Lepisosteus oculatus: one gene and its partner. The protein of the gene in region 2 purifies or fractionates together with the protein of the main gene of each other region. This does not show direct contact. Links are inferred from orthologs where the notes say so. Each region holds a gene or a part of one and is shown on either strand. Other genes may lie near its edges. The genes, in order: nr2c2 and jazf1b.

Region 1 (8,047 bases), on a different chromosome or scaffold from region 2:
ATACCAAGACATGATTCAGATTTGGCAGCGGTGTTGTATTGGTAGACAGTTTTTAATAAGATGTATGGGAGACCTAAACAAAATGCCACAGCACCACTATGCATTGTGAATATCCATCCTAATGAAGCCCAAGGTGTTTCAACTTGTACTGTATCATCTGTCACTCACCTCAGCCACCTGCTCTGTGTCCACTATCTGCTGAGCTAGCACCTCCATATTGGTTGCCATGGCGATGCAAGATCATTAGCGAAACCTGTTTGGAAAGAAGCCAGCAGCTTCTATCAGCCAAAGCAAAATTATGCTGGTATGGTTCTTCTTTACAGTATCCTACAACACTTTCATTGGTCAAAAGTAAGAATTAACCACAGTATTTAGAAACCCTAGATGGAAGATCTAAATGCAGGAATTAAAGTCTACGGACCTTCTTTAAACTCTCTAATCGATTCCTCCACTGTGCTACACTGAAGAACTTTAAAGTTATTTTTATTATTAATTTGGCTGATTCTTGTATCAGTTTTTAACCAAATTTTGGTACCATGTATACAGATGAGTGGTTTTGTTGAAATCATGTGGGTAAAGCTCAAGGATTAAGTGGCAGTGCCCTCCCCACCTGTTATTTGAATTCATGGCTTGACCACAAAACGTTGTTCATTTCACTGTATAGTCACTAGCATTCACAACAGCAAGAAATCATTGCAATGCATTTTAATAATGAATGCAATGATGTATTATGCATATGAGGCCTTGGATTATGCAAAGTCATTTTCATTTGGCTGCTTTCTGTATGGTATTCCTCCATCACAGCCTTCTATCCAGCTTTGTACTTCTGCTGCCAAAGCTTAGTGTCTGTACCCAGTTCTGCAACTGTCTACTAGTTGTCTATAGTATTTTCCATTACTTCTCGCACTACTTCAGTAATTCCTGTGGATCGACCTTGTCCTTCCGTTTGTCAGCTCTGATTTCTTTTCACAACGTCGTATAGTATTCCCCCATCTGTACTATTCTGCACACTGCTAATTTCATTAACATCTCTTCTGACGGCTGTCTTCTTCACAGAATCCTCTTATAGAGGGTTCAGTCAATAAAATGTAATTTGCATATGAAATTCGGATCTGACCTCACGCAAGGCTGACAGATTTCTTGATTAGTGGTTAAAAAAAAAAGACCAGAGGAAAAAATTAATTATCAGCTCCTCTCACGAATAAAACATCTTTAGTATCACTAAAGGCATTAGATCTGTCAGGAGGTGTGGCAGCTTATTATGCCATATCCACAATTTGACACAAGCTTGTTCTGGTTAAGCTCATGATACTTTTGCATAGTTTTTATCTTAAAAATAGGATTCAGTCCTGTTTTTTTTGCTCCCTCACTATAGCTGTGTGATTGTACTGTCTGTATAGCTCTAAATCAATAGCAGATGAGTGTATGTTAATTCACAGATACAGACCTATATATTTACAGTGAACAATAGTATAGTGATGTGTTATATGACTTATCATAGACTGCAGGGTCAAAAGAACCATAAACCAGTCTCTGCTCTGCTTTGATATTACACATTTTACAATGAAAATATATGAAGTGTTTAAACATATATAACGGGCTATATCCTGTTAGACTGCAAAGAAAACAGAAAGTCTTGATATAACGAAGTGCAAAACGAATTATATCATAGGGCAAGAGTTTCACACTTCAGTGCTGCAAATAAACCAAGCAGCCTCTCACCTTACAGTTGATCAAGATGGCAACATATGTAAGATGCCACAGCTTTCATTAATACATTATTCTAGGGGGAAACTGAAAAAGAAATAGGCCAAATGGTTCTCGTGGGTCTTAAACATCAAGTTCTTTTGCTCATCAAAATAAAAATACATCTACTCACCGAGATGCGTGACAATAAATTACTGTAAATTGTTTTCTCGTTCTCTTTAATGCACACTCATTTGTAACAGACTGGACATAGTACATGTAATAGAAAAGAGCATCGGCAGTCAAACGGGTCGATTTCTTTTGTTTCCCAAAAGAGGGATGATTTTACTTCATCACACACAATTGTGTTGTTTCTAATTCAAGAGCATTTTTTTTTTATCTGTACACATCAAACCTAACGATTTCGCTAACGGGGATCAGAATCATAATTCAAACTTGGCGTACAACTTTGCCCTGTCAGATTACTCCACCGATTCACTTAATAACTGCTCGAGTCTCTCTTCTGAAAAACAAAATGCGGTTTCAATTGCAGCACAAGTGACATGCAATAGAATCTGATAAATTATTCGTCAAAACGAATTCTTCTGCACGGGAGCAGCAAAATACATATTTTCGAAAATTGGGAGGGGTCAATACAGCCACACTCGGTCCTACACTGCGTTATTACGGCCTCTGTCATTGGTGTTTTAAGCTTTCATAGCCACCATACAAGCGTTATGCGATTGGTGGGATGCATGGACTGCTTCAACAATCTGTCCCTGCCGAGTTTAAATCGCATGCAAAGACAAAAAAAAAAAAGAACAAAATGGAGAATCTGGCACAACGCCAAGTCGCGCCGAGCAGCCATTGAAGTGTGCATTTTAAAAATGCGTGTAAAAATCACAAGACGCCCGTGGTCCTACGTGTCGTTTTTCGTGAGAAAAGCCTGGCAGACAGTGGCTTGCGTCCGCCTCTGTTTATGCATACAACCTCTGCAAACCAGCCCCCCTGTCCCCGGGATGGCAAAGGTAAAAGGGTCGGGTTCAGATGCGTCTTAAACCAAACGCAGCCCGACTCTCCCGCCTGCCTTCGTTTCGCGTACTAAAACGCGTTTTCGTGGGTTTGTCCCATGAACTCCTTCCCAAATCTCCAATTTAAGTGTTTCAACTAAAATCTGACCGGACAGCAGTTTATAAAACCTTAACGACCGGACCTGGCGCAGAGCTTCCCGGAGCTGGGGGACTACTAAAAGTGAAATTAACCACCTTTCGCCGCGACGCGTTTCAATATACCATTAAACGGGCATGAAAGTGATGAGAAGTCTTACCTCCTGGGGGGAAACAGCGTTGTTTTTAGTTCTCAGGTTTTTAAAAAATTATTTGTTATTGTTTTTCTTCTGTGAAAGGTCATAGTTCGTGACCCCGTTCCGCCAGCGTGCCGGGAGTTTTTTCTTCTTCCTCCTCCAGCGCTCTTCTCCTTCCTCGCTCACCGAGCAGCGAGAGCCAGACAGCGCTGACGTCAGCCTGTCTGCCACGGGTGGGCCGCCTCTGATTGGCCGCGACCTATTCGTCTATGTCTTTCTTTTCATTCTTTATGATGCAAGTTTTTTTTTTTCCTATGTGTGTGTGGAAGGACGCGAGAGTCAGTGGATATTGTCTTTGCGTTTGGGAGTTCTAGAAGGACCTAGTGAGAGTAAAAAAAAAAACAGGCGTTGACTAGCAAAAATATCAAGGTCAAGAGAGAGCCCACAACGAGAAGGAGGATCTGGAAAAGCGGTTGTGTGATGTGCATAGAGGACACATCTATTTTTCGCAGTACTTCTCCATGACAGAACTGATGACAAAACGGGGGGAAAAAGCAGAAGCATCCCAAGGCAAAGAATTCCCCAAATCCCACAGCCTCGTGGTATTTTTTTTTACCATGTCAGATTAAAACTCACTTAACCATGAAGGAATTTTACATTTCTTTTTTAGAGATCATTTTTATAAAATAAATTGTCACACTTCACGATGTAATTAAATGAGATTTTAAGATCTCAATAAGATGTCTTATTATTTCAGTAGTTTTTGCTGTTTGTGATTGTAAACTATTTTGATCTTACCCTGGTGCCCCCCAAAAATAACTATGCACAACAAATGAACATCACTATTAAAATAATTTAATTTGCTAGTGGTAGCTAGAAAAGTGGAAAGGTTAACACACACATGAGCATGTTAGCAACCCTTTTTGATTAACTCCTAAATACTGTACATTACACCGATAGAAAATGTCACTGAAAGTGGAGAGAATGTGATACAAACATTAACTTGGAGTGAAACATGTAACAGCTTGAATTAAAAATAAGTTTAGAGGGAACATTAAATGGAACAGCAATTAAATGTTCAATAATTGCTCAGTCACATAGTGGGTTGCAGTAACCCAGAGCCTACTCCATCAAATGTGGGCTCAAGGCAGGATACACCCTAGACAGTGTGCCAATCCATTGAAGGCAACAGCCACAGATGGGCACAATTTAGAGATGTCAGTTAACCTAGCCACTAAATCTCTGAATTGTGGGAGGAAACCAGAAATAAATCCACACAGCCATGAGGAGAATGTGCAAATGCCATACAGAAAGGGACAGAATCGAACCCGGGGCTTAACATATGTGAGGTAGGTTTGCGACTGTACCTGTATTGCAGCTTGTCCAGGGATGACCCTCCCAGACAAAAGATAATGAGCTCTGCCCTTAGCAAGGAGTGGGTCATATCAATTTCAGGGAGGAAATGGTTAAGGAGGATGATTCTTTTTACTTAGCACAAAAGTGTGAAAGTGAATATACAGAGGAAGTAAATGCACAGCAAAAACATCTATTGAAGACATCACTGGGAGGTTTAATTTAATAACTTACAAAAAGTAATTATGTTCCTGGGAAGTGAGGAATCAGTGTGTTATTTTCTCAGTCAGAAATAAATGTCTTGTTTTTAGCCCTGAGCATTAAAACTTAGTTTTCAGTTTCTTTCTTTCCTCTTGTGAAGCTGGGTGTTAATGAAGCAAGATCTGTGTGTTACAAAGAGCAGTTTCATACAGTACCTTCATAATTGCCTCATTGCAAAATGGATTGTAGGATCCTACCAGAGAAATATGCTAGGAATATCTCAGATAAGAGACATAGAAAGATTCATTAGTTACAGAATAATAATAATAACAATAATAATAATAATAATAATAATAATAAGGATTGCAAGAAAAAAAAAGTAACGGCCTTTAATAGTGTAGTACTTCAGTCAACCAACCATTTAATTAGTGATTTCTGTTCAAAAGCCAGAAAGTGCATCGCAGTATATTTTGAGTCCAAGTAATACATGTGCCCTTTTCATTACACAGACACCAAATTATAAAGAAAGGAGGTGTAACATTGATAGAAAAATCCTCTGCTGTTCCATTTAAGTGTATTTTCCTATTAATGCTGCAGTAAAATCCTGGGTAGGCCAATTAGCGTCTCAATATTGTCCCTGTGTTCTTGGGAGTCTGTGTCCTTTGATGGACTGGCATCCCGTCAAGGATGTAGTCCCGCCCAGTACTCTGTGCTTCTGGGATAGGCTCCAGGTTGCCATGACACTTACCAGCAATAAGCGGCTTTATGATAATGGATGGGTGGATGAGTAGATGAAGCTATTCATCCATCACAATGTATACTATGGAAATACAAAATGAGATCTAGATAAGATTTTAATGTATGTTATGTTGGAGTGAAATGGATACCCCTTTTCAACTGCACTAAAGTGACCTAAGCAAAAAAGATGTTGGGCTCTCATTTTTATCTGCAAGGATTTATCTGGACATGAAAAAAATGGTGGACATCAATCATTCACGTGCTATTGCATCATTCTGCTATTCACAACTGAGAGTTGTTTTTCTGAAAAAAAAAGACAGTATACATTATTTTATTTTCTTTTACTTTACTACCCCCCCCCCCCCCCCACACACACAGACAATTTTAGACAAAACTCCATTATTTAATTATTTTTACAACAAAATATTTTCATGTTTCTCTGTAATACTCATTGATTCTTTACCAGATCTCAGTACATTAGCATTGACTGAAACAAGGGTTCAGAAAATCTGCACAAAATTAATAATTACATTCCTTGTTTTCATATCTGTCTTTGTCAATGCAAATAAAGCAAAATTATTATTTTTTTTAGTTTAAAACTCAATATATGCAAGGCCATTTTAAAAGTTAAGTACATAACACTAAAGAGACAACATCACAAATACAGAAAAACTGCATTTGTCTGTATTCTCCAAGCATACATCCTGTGCTTTATCATTTCTTAAATAAACATTCCCATACTGGCTGAGATCAGAGATTTACATGCCTGACCTGTTTTGGCACTTGGTTTATATCATAAAAATATAAATCTTAATATAGTCTTCAAATCTGCTTATGCTAAATGGTGCACTTGTCTTCAAAAGGAATCATGATAGCATTACAAAGTCACCAACAGAATTCCTTCAGAGCGAATTGAATATATTAGTTGGAGAAAACTCTTCTGTTAACAACAGAATTCAATGGCTTCCTATATTTCTGTACTACAGCTTTGCTTTTAGGTGGCTAAAGATGGTTTTTCCTAGCTATTTCTAAAATAAGTTTCTATTAATAAAAAAATCAACTGTGGAAGGTAGGTCAGTTATCTCTTTTCTATTTAGAACACACATTTTGAAAAAAGCTTTTGAGGGTATGGAATTTTGTACAAGCACAGGACAGCATTATGATGAGAAGAACAAAAAATGTACAGCGTTCTGCTTCACTTTTTGTGAATTTGTAACACCCCTTGTAATCAGATGAAATCAATATTTAAAAAAGCCTTAAACCTAGTACAAGATAGTGGGACTGAGGGTTGCCAATAAATGAAAGGAAGAAGCCTCTAGCAAACTAAACCCAAGATGAATAGAATACATTTGATTTAATATGACCCTTAGTCTGAATTAACACTTTATCACCTTACATCTTTCTTTTAGCCATTTTCCAAGAGAGAAACATTAGTCCATTGCTTTAATATCATGTTAACAAGTAAATGTGATAACAATGAATGGGCAACACTTCACTTCTCAGACTTATTTACTCCCCACTTCAGCTAATATACTATACATTCCAGCATCAGGCAGGCAAGTAGCAGTGAGGTCTTATAAGGTAACCAAATCAAATCACTTCTGCGCAACAGCTATTGCACTTCTTTTTGAAAATAGGTAGATTTACTGAATGACAGCAACACACGGAGTGAGCAAATTAAATTTACATTTGTAAGGCATTTTCTCCACTTGCTAAGTAATACATGGCAAATTTTGCACAGTGAGTCTCCTTGGCAACCAGTCTTATGGAGTCGCATTTATGTTGGATGTGACGGCTCTTTTGTGCCAATAAATGAAACTGTCTTGATTGGCAGGCTGGTAAATGTTTTTTATTGTCCAACGCCTCCAGCAGGTGTAGCCTACTGTTAGTGAATGTACACTAGATACAGACATCAGCCTTTACATTTTTTTTTCATATATATCAAGAATCAGCTCTGTTGTCTTCAAAGTGCATGGCACAAAACTACATGGCATGCAAAGATATAGAAGTATTTTATAACTCTGTGTATCGAGTCTTGCCCACAGATTAAGCTTAAAAGGGTACTTTTCATTACACTATCCAAATGCTTTCTCTGTTGTGTGAGCTTCTTTCCCTCATTGGGATAATGCATCTTTATATGTGGAAAACACGGTTTAAGAAGGATGTTGAGATTTGGGGAAAAAAAAGATATTATAATATGGAATTTGGGGATTTTTTTCTTACTAAACAAAATAGTAGCACTCACACCTCTTCTTGTTACACCAGCAAAAGACAAAAAAACTACAACTAATTTCATCAGAGGTTGGATTGTGCCTAATATTCATTTAATCCACCTATGACCTGTTAGAAATATCATCTTAACTATCAGGAATAGGGGTTTAAATAAGCAATAATTATCAATAAATGATTTAGTTTTATTTTAGTTTAATATATTGTCTTGCATGTTTGTTTGCAGGTGTGGGACAAGAATGCAGTTTCACCATCATGAAATGAAGTCAAAATTACATGCTGCTTGAAAATAAATATGGTAATAAAACAATGCTTTTGAAATGAGCAAACTGGGCAAAATAGCTCTTTGCAAGAACAGTCTGCTTCCTATCACTCTTTTTATGTACTAAATTCAATCATCAGTTCCTTCTTCAAAAACAAAATACAAGAGTTCTGTTTTGGAATATAACATGATAGTAGCATGTGGACATCAAAATGGAAAAACATCTTTAGGAAAATAAGGATTTTGCTTCTGACAGATTAATAAAGGAAAGTACA
Region 2 (8,432 bases):
GTGTACACATTTACTATATTTAGGTTCTGTTTATCCCTGTAGCCCCCCTAGACTTCAACAATCACTGTGGTGCAGTGTGTAAGGAGTCAATAGATTTGCAATATTCTCAACTGACTGCAGACACCTTGCCTTAATAGATATGGTAGCTAACATGATTTTTAAGTCCCAATTCCTCAGTTTAGTGAAGCACAGACCAGACCTGAGCCACAGGCTCAGTTTTGTTCACCGGTGATAATCTGAGTATCTGTGTTACTTTATCATTAACAAACCTGGAGACAATTTTGACAGTTGTGGGTGCATCAACCACACAATGTCACAAATAAAGGCACAGACTAGTCCAATCTAAAACTCGGTCTAACACAAAGTCGTCAGTAAAGGAATGCCGACCTATTTTTACCACTTTAAAATACTCATATTCCCCATATCACATACACATTGATTTTAAAGCATTAATTTTATTGAGATTACTTGAAATAGAATGGTTGACAAAAGGGGGGAAGAGACTTTCTCTTATCTTGGGTAGTCTTGGCTTGTTAATCAGAAGTCTCAACAGTTGAGCATACTGAGCTGCAACTGTGAATGACAAGATATCTTTTACACAGTCTGCAAAGCTGGGACACTTTAACGGCCATGGCCTGTAAATACACAGCACCACTGGTTAAGGAAGGGTTATGTTAAAAGAGCACTCTGCCTCTGGGGAAGACCTTTTTAAGCGTGCCCATAAAACCCCATTCTGCTCTGAGGCAGTGCAAAGCATCTATAACAAGCCAAAATAAACAGGTGTCTACAACACCAGACAAAAACATAACAAAAAGCTAAAGTGAAGTATTTGTATAGGCTTTGCAACCTGAAACAATGAGCAGACACCCACGCTGTACAGCCTAGTGCCTAAGAGACAAAATAAATGTTATTTACACACAGTAAGACCATACAAGTCTTCATTCAATTGAGCCTTTTACAAAAGGACTTCCAGCAACAAACTCCAGGATAACAAAGGGCTCTGCTTGCAAGTCTGGGTCTGTACTATACAGACTTCTTTATCAGACCAGCGGGGGACAGAACAGGAGGCTCAGACAGAAGGGACAGAAGAAACACACCAAGGGCCACACGGTACTGTGTGTTACACTTCCTTCACAATACACTGAAGGTGTGGAACATACCACAAACTGATTACAACTAGAAAACAGTGTTTCACACGTCTTGCTCAGGCAATGTCTAGCGTAATTACTTCCTGACAGTTAAAAGCATGTTCCACTAATACAAATCTTACTCTCTCTTATCAACCAATATATAAATATATCAATGCCGGCAGTCAGAAAAGTGACCTTTAACAGACAATCTTGTTTTTAGTAGCAATTATTAAGTCCGGTCTGATGCATCGCCCGCCTTCATGCAAATAATAACTGAAAGCTTAGAAAAAGCTTATAAAAAGACAAACAAGAAGCACTAAATCACAGAGTGACAAGTCTGCTCCTCCGATTTGCTGCTGTCAACCTTAAGTACAAGACAACCCTGACCTTAAGTACAAGACCACCATCGCGGTAAGAAGTGTTCAAAGGGCTGTTGACACAGGAGTCCCACTACCTCTGTTGAGCTGAGGAGAGGAACAGCATCTAAAAACACTCATGTAAGAGTTCTCAAGCACCGGGCTCACACGTTAGCCGGTACGCACTAAAAACATGTGAAGCATGCACCCTCGGTTACTTTCGAAGTAAGTTCACCTTTCTATGAAAGCCTGATATTTTAATATTAGATAGAGTCTATGCCAAACAGGGCTTAAAATTCACAAACTGTACAAACGATGATAACCTTAACCAATCTCCGAACACGTATATATGAGATTGTCATTTTTTATTGTATCGCACGAACGTATGTTGTAAATGTAAATATATCCATATATTTTCAAGAAACAGTCATATTCGAGCAATGCGAAAGGTCTCTACACGAATACAGGCTACAGGCGGAGGACATCTGCATCTCGGCCTGCTTGCAGGCGGCGGCTCACGGGTATGTGGACCTGTCCTGGGCGATGACAAAGCTCAGCACAAGAGCACAAACCCCTGAACTGAGAACTCAGAAGCTGCGGCAACACTGTCCGTGACTACCGGCTTCCGGTGCGAGTATACAACGGAATCGGCTCAATAGTTAAAACACATGCAAGCACAGCTGGCGACACCCACGTAACAAAACGAGCCAAGCACGATGACGTACAGCAGTGAAGCACTCGCATTAATGCATCTAGCTCACCCCGAGAGCCGCTGTAACTCGGGGGAATCGTGCAGACCGACTCCCGTTACTCTGCGCAGGGCAGTGCCTTTGCAACCCAAATCCAGCTGTTCCGCGTTAACTGAGCACGGGCGCTGCAGAAATGCGTAGCTCCACTCGGTAAAACGTCTTTCCCTGACGCCTTTCCTTGCGCACACGGACAACACGTTATGCGCGTCGTGTCGCTTTCTGCCCCTGCCATTGCGCCTGCTAGCTGCACCCCGCTCCGCGAGAGCCCGGCGCCGCAGCTGGGCCTAACTGTAAACACTGCACATGACAATCACTCGGGCTCGCAGGACGTCTCCGCCTGCAAAGCGCCGACATGCATTGCATCGCCGGCAGCCCGACACCCGCCCGGGGCTCTTCTCGACAGTGCAAACGCGAAATCCCCCCAAACTCGAACGCGGCGGCTTGAAAATATAAAAGTGGGGAAGCCCGGTGCCCCCATCACCACCACACCTAGCAACCGCGCTGACAGGACGCAGGAAGAGCATGGCTGCCATTGCCCCGAGAGCAGCGGCGGCTGAGGCGCCTCGGAAACGCGCCTGGGCGCCGCTTACCGATGTGGTTGTCCTCGATGTGCTCGATGAGCTCGGCCAGGGTGGAGAAGTGGAGTCCGCAGCCCCCGAACCTGCAGGTGTTGGAGAAGAAGGAGGCGGCGGCGATGCCTGTCATGGTGTTACATGGAGTGCGGCTCAGCCCGGGCGGCGGGGAAGGGGCAGGCACCGGCAGCCAGGCAGCGGCGGCAGCTGGAGCGGCGGCGGGCGGGGAAGAGGAGGCAGCGGCTGGCGGGGGAGGGACCACAGCAGCAGGGCTGCGGGTGACGTCATGCTTACCTGTTGCAGCGCCCCCACAACACTGCCCCCTCTCCCCCCTCCTCACTCGGGCACTGCTCTGTTCAGTTAAAGGGCCGTCTTCCTCTCGGCACTGCCAGATCCTGGTCTGTTTCACCCCGTAGCGGCTTCTAAGTGTTCGCCAGAAACAAAATTCAGTATGAAAGAAATAAAATGCGGAACGTCTCGCACCGCTCTTGGACGTCTACAACTGCAAGTGCCGCCGGTTCTATAAACACGTTATCTGTTCAAATCATAGTCACAAAGTACTTCCAACACGTGTGTAAACAATACATATCTACATGCATCGTCTATACTCGATACAGTATCTCCTTCCTTCCTGGTATAAGACTGTAACACCCGCTAAACCCGAGCTACCACTGGATTGTGTTAATAATAATAATAATAATAATAATAATAATAATATCAAATCAAAGTTTATTTATCAAATGCATAACAGTACAGCGTGCAGCAGTAGTTGCTGCCAATGAAATGTCTTTTCTGTGAGCTCACAAAGATCACAAAAATCACAAAATTAAGGTTACAAAAATAAGGTTACATGATAATAGATAGTAATGTAATAGAAATTTAATACAACTCAATATGAATAGAGCTGCTATGTGTCCATGGCGTATGCAATATATTATGTCCAAGTACTCCAGTAGTAAGAATAATAATTTTTAACTTAATAAATAATCAACAATAAAGTTAAAAACTTGAACAATAAATTACAATAAAATTAAGTGAAAGAGAAACAGAGCATACAGGTTTTTACAGATTGACTGTAGGCAGTCAGAATAGACCTTTGTAGAAACATATTTTAAGTTTAGATTTAAAGAGAGTTTAAAAAGTTGTCTCTCGTAAAGTCTGAGGAAGCTCATTCCACAACACTGGAGCAGCGGCGGAGAGGGCTCGGTCACCCAGGGTCCGTGGTTTAAACCTGGGGACTGTGAGCAGAGGACCGGCCCCAGCTTACCAGAGCCTATGGTCGGAGTGTAAACACAGAGGAGTTCAGCCATGTATGATGGAGCCAGATTGTTTAGAGGCTTGAAAGTCAGTATCAAGATCTTATATTGAATATGTGACTTTATAGGCAACCATTGTAGAGACGTAACTATAGGAGTGATATGCTGCCAGTGTCTGGTGTGAGTAAGTAGTCTTGCAGCAGAGTTTTGAAAATTTTACAACTTGTTTGATAAGAGAGTTAGGGAGCCCACAGAGTAAAGAGTTGAAGAACTGAAGCCATGATACTGTAAATGCATGAATCAGGCACTCATTTCAAGGAGGCAAGCATCATAACCAAACATCTGAGTCATCATGATGTTACATTTATTTAAAATTAAAAATTAAAAAACAAAGTAAGTAAACTTTTTTAAGTCTGTTTTACAGTAGTTAAAATAAACACGCCCAAGCAATTAGAAAAAGCTAAAAAAAAACATAATCATATATTTAGAAATGCATGAAACATACATGTTGAACAGCGATCTGTGCAGAAGAGTAGAAGCTTCTGCTCATGTCGTATTAATTCATACCCAGACCTCTCTGCCAGTTGGTCCACAGTGCTCCTGTGTGATCCAGGGGCTCTCCTTCAAAGACCAGTGACACTGGGGTATTTAAGCAAACCTGTTTCACACTACTCTATTAGCTCCTCGGTACACAGAGCAGGAGAAGGAGAGCTCCTGTTAAGATCATTAACACAGCAATTCACTGTGTTTATCACTTTAACTTTACACATGGGATAGGATTCGCCTCTGAAGCCCCACAGTATCCACTCTCACCACTGGAGCCCCCACACAGCAGGTGAAAAGGTACCTTACCAGCTCAAACCAGGGGAACCCTTGTGTCAGCCAGACTGCAAAGGCCCAGAGTGGAACATAACCAGGCACTGACACCCCTCACTCTCCAGTGAATTGAGTAAAAAAGAGAAATGGTGAAAGTGGTAATAAAGCAAAACTAAGGGTGTCAGGCAGATACAAGATGTATTCTGTCAATAAAATATGGGTATAATGTAAATAATACAATGTTTGTATTTTTGCCAAACTAATATGTCTGCTTGAAAGCAGCTGCGAAAGTGCAAGTAGTAATTAATCACTTATTCATTTAATATCATTTGAAGTAAGGCAAGTTCAGAAGTGAGTTCAGTGTAGGATCGATAATGACACTGTCCCATCTTGAGAATGAGTTTGGCGTTTCTCACGTTGATTTTAAATGGTTCAACTCTTATTTTACTGGTCACCGACACTTTGTTTCTTTTGGGGTTTTGGCCTCATTGAATCTGGTGTTCCTCAGGGCTCGATACTGGGTTCCCTGCCTTTCAGCATCTACATGTTCCCACTTTGTCAGAAAAATTACTTGATCTGAATGATCATTTCTATGCTAATGATACTCAAATCTATGTCCATACTAAACCTGACACCTGAAACCTGAAATAGATTTTTCTGCACTTTCTAATTGTATCTCTGATATAAAAACCTGGATGACTCAAAACGTCCTTCATTTAAACTGCAACAAGGATAAGGTCATGCTTCACAGCATGGCATCTCTCATCACCTACATAACACCAATGCAGGAATGCTGTCTGTGGACGGCACTGTGCTTGAATGTCAATCAAAATAAATACTTTAGAGGTGATATTTGATCCTGGCATCACTTTTGACCCTCATGAGGAGAACACTGTAAAAACATCATTCTTCCATCTCAGAAAAATTGCCAGACTACATCCTATGTTGACTCTGACTGTTGTTGAAAAGCTGGTCAACACATTTGTCTTCTCTAGAATGTATTACCACAACATCCTTCTTGCGGGGGTATCGAAATCCACACTGAACAAACTTAGGCATGTCCAGTATTCAGCAGCCGGAGTCCTGACCAGGTCACAAGCAAGCGATCACAGTACTTCTGTCCTGGAGTCCTTGCACTTTCTTCCTATCAAGTTTCAAGTCGACTTTGTGCTCACTTATAAGGTTCTACGTGGCTTGGCACGTCAGTGCCTACTTCACTTATTATCTGTATGCTACCTATCTTGCATCTATTGTTTTTTGAAACTACAACCTAAATTCAAGAACTGCACAGATTTTCTCTGCTCTATTGTCATTCTGCTTCTGGAATGCCTTTGTTTATTTAAAATTGTTCCTTGTTTAAAAGAAAAGCTGTCACTGGTGAAAGATAAAGAGATAATGAACTGACAGCCTTCCAGCCCTAGCCAGGCATGTTGCTGCACATCACTCTAGCAGAGACTCAGGCACTGGGAAAAGTGCTGACTCCAGCCTCAGCACAGTAAGAGCATGAAGGTTTTCCTACTGTATGTAGACTCATTTTTTCTGCTCTCTACCCACAGCTCATACTTTTTACTCTCTTGCTAAAAATAAATATCTTATAGTTGAAATAAAATACTTAAAATAGTTTAAGCATTTTTGTGCTGATTGACTGGTTGATAAAGCGAGAAAATGCACATCCAAACTACAATCGGGAATTGTTTTATAGATTGAATGCAAAGTAAAATTGGGATACCTGTGTACACTGGCATAAGCGCAGGCTGTGTAAAGCAGGCATGTCTCCACACGTTATGTTCATCACAAATCCTTTCTCTGCAAGCACCGGAGTCGCACAAAAGCCTCTGGCAGCCATGACTGCGTCCCCATCAATATGCTGTGTCAACAGCACTGGATGGAAGCTTTTCAGTCCATGAGAGTGTGAGTCAATGGGCCTTTCAAACAAGAAAGAGAGAATGTAAGAGAGAACATTACTGGAAAATAATACTTTAGAGTTATTCTTTAAAATAGTTTTTAGAGTTGTAAGCCTTGACCTTCATGCATATGTCAGCATTCAACAAGGCCTTCATTGCTGCTTTTGTGCCTAAGACATCTGCAGCTGGCAGGGACAGACAGAGTGCTTCACACCACATTTATGCTCCTTTACAAATGCATTCCTCAATAACACCATCGTTTTTGTTTCTTCCCTGCTATCCTCACCTGCTCCTTCAGAGTCTAGAATCAGTGATTAGTTTAAGTTTTTTGTATTGTTACATCACTCAAACATATCAAAAGGGACATTGTTATGGCTCCAGAATTCCTTGTGTTATTATTTTTGAATGAACGATTTACTCATCTGTTTGCCTTTTATCCTCTTTGTGCATTAAACAATATAATAGCTTATTATTTGATTTTGGAAAATGGAAGATGTTTGAACAGAGAAGACTACGACAGGAGCTGATGCAAGTATTATATTCGAAACTCTCAAATGCAATGACAAGGTCAAGCCAGCTTACTTCTTCAGAATTAAAAGGGAAACAGGAACCAGGAGGCACAAGGGGAAATTACATGGAAGTGTTTCTAAAACTGAGAAGAAGAGGCACTTTTTTACCTAAGGGGTAAAGGGGTAATGGGAGAATGCAACAGACAACCCAGACATGTTGTTGAAGCTGATACCCTGGATTCTTTTAAAAAAAACATCTGGATGAGATCCTTGGATCAATTAACTACTAACTACCAAATGGGCCAGGTGGGTCAAATGGCTCCTCTCATTTGTACCCTTCCTTATATTCTTTGTTCTTGTGCCACAATATAACGCGATTCCTAACAATGCAAACTGCATCACCTGTATTTTCCATTTAGATTTTTATTCTGCTGGAATTTTACAGGTATGACATGGGTCCTAGACCAACACAATAATGACTTTCTGGGAATCTTGTGTCCTTCATGAGGTATTGCAAAGCTTTAGGGTTTATATGGGCCCTCCTTGGGCAGCATGGTGGTGTGCTGGTTGGCACTGCAGGATTTTGGTTTGAATATATTGCCTGGGTGTCTTTGTCATGAAGCAGCTCTTTCCGGGCCCTATGCAGACGACGCGATCCGGAATTGTGAAGATACACTAGGGAGAAAGTCATGCAGGATACAGGGAGGCGTGTCCGAGGTGAGCAGGTGTCCTGGGGAAGTGAGTCCGGGCGAACAAACAAAGCCAAAGTCCAAATGGGGAATCCAAACGGAAGAGTAGAGTCTGGCCAGGAGATCCATCCAAGGGTCGGGACCGGCGGGGCAGGGAATCAGGAACAGAAGGTTAAAACTATAATGGAGCCAGATGCTCAAATGAGGTACGCGAAGTGAAGTCTGCGTCTGGATTTTAAGGGGGAGCGGGAATAGGGAACAGGTGCAGACAATGGGAGAAAACAAGGAAGGACTGGAGCGCCCTTAAGAGGAGGGGTTAGCAATTGTGACAGTCTTTCTGTGAGTTTGCACCATTTTCACTAGGTGCTCCTCCCACCTACTGTATGTCCCAGAGACATGGTGTCTGAGTTTGATGGGCTACTCTCCTCTGTCGCTGGAGGTTGCCCGGTTT

Evidence for each region.
Region 1: the proteins of jazf1b (region 2) and nr2c2 purify together in Homo sapiens (affinity purification with mass spectrometry; 4 studies listed by BioGRID and IntAct, with this or other methods). This does not show direct contact. The link is inferred for Lepisosteus oculatus from reciprocal best matches to the Homo sapiens genes JAZF1 and NR2C2.

The regions. Positions count from the first base shown.
Region 1 is NC_090699.1:55,375,332-55,383,378, reverse strand, and holds the start of nr2c2 (nuclear receptor subfamily 2 group C member 2), read right to left. Parts: upstream 3,217-8,047; 5' UTR 3,014-3,216; intron 2,893-3,013; exon of another isoform or gene 1,880-2,892; intron 254-1,879; 5' UTR 229-253; coding exon 169-228; intron 1-168. UniProt on the Homo sapiens protein: Orphan nuclear receptor that can act as a repressor or activator of transcription.
Region 2 is NC_090705.1:285,309-293,740, reverse strand, and holds the start of jazf1b (juxtaposed with another zinc finger protein 1b), read right to left. Parts: upstream 3,201-8,432; 5' UTR 2,941-3,200; coding exon 2,826-2,940; intron 1-2,825. UniProt on the Homo sapiens protein: Acts as a transcriptional corepressor of orphan nuclear receptor NR2C2. Inhibits expression of the gluconeogenesis enzyme PCK2 through inhibition of NR2C2 activity.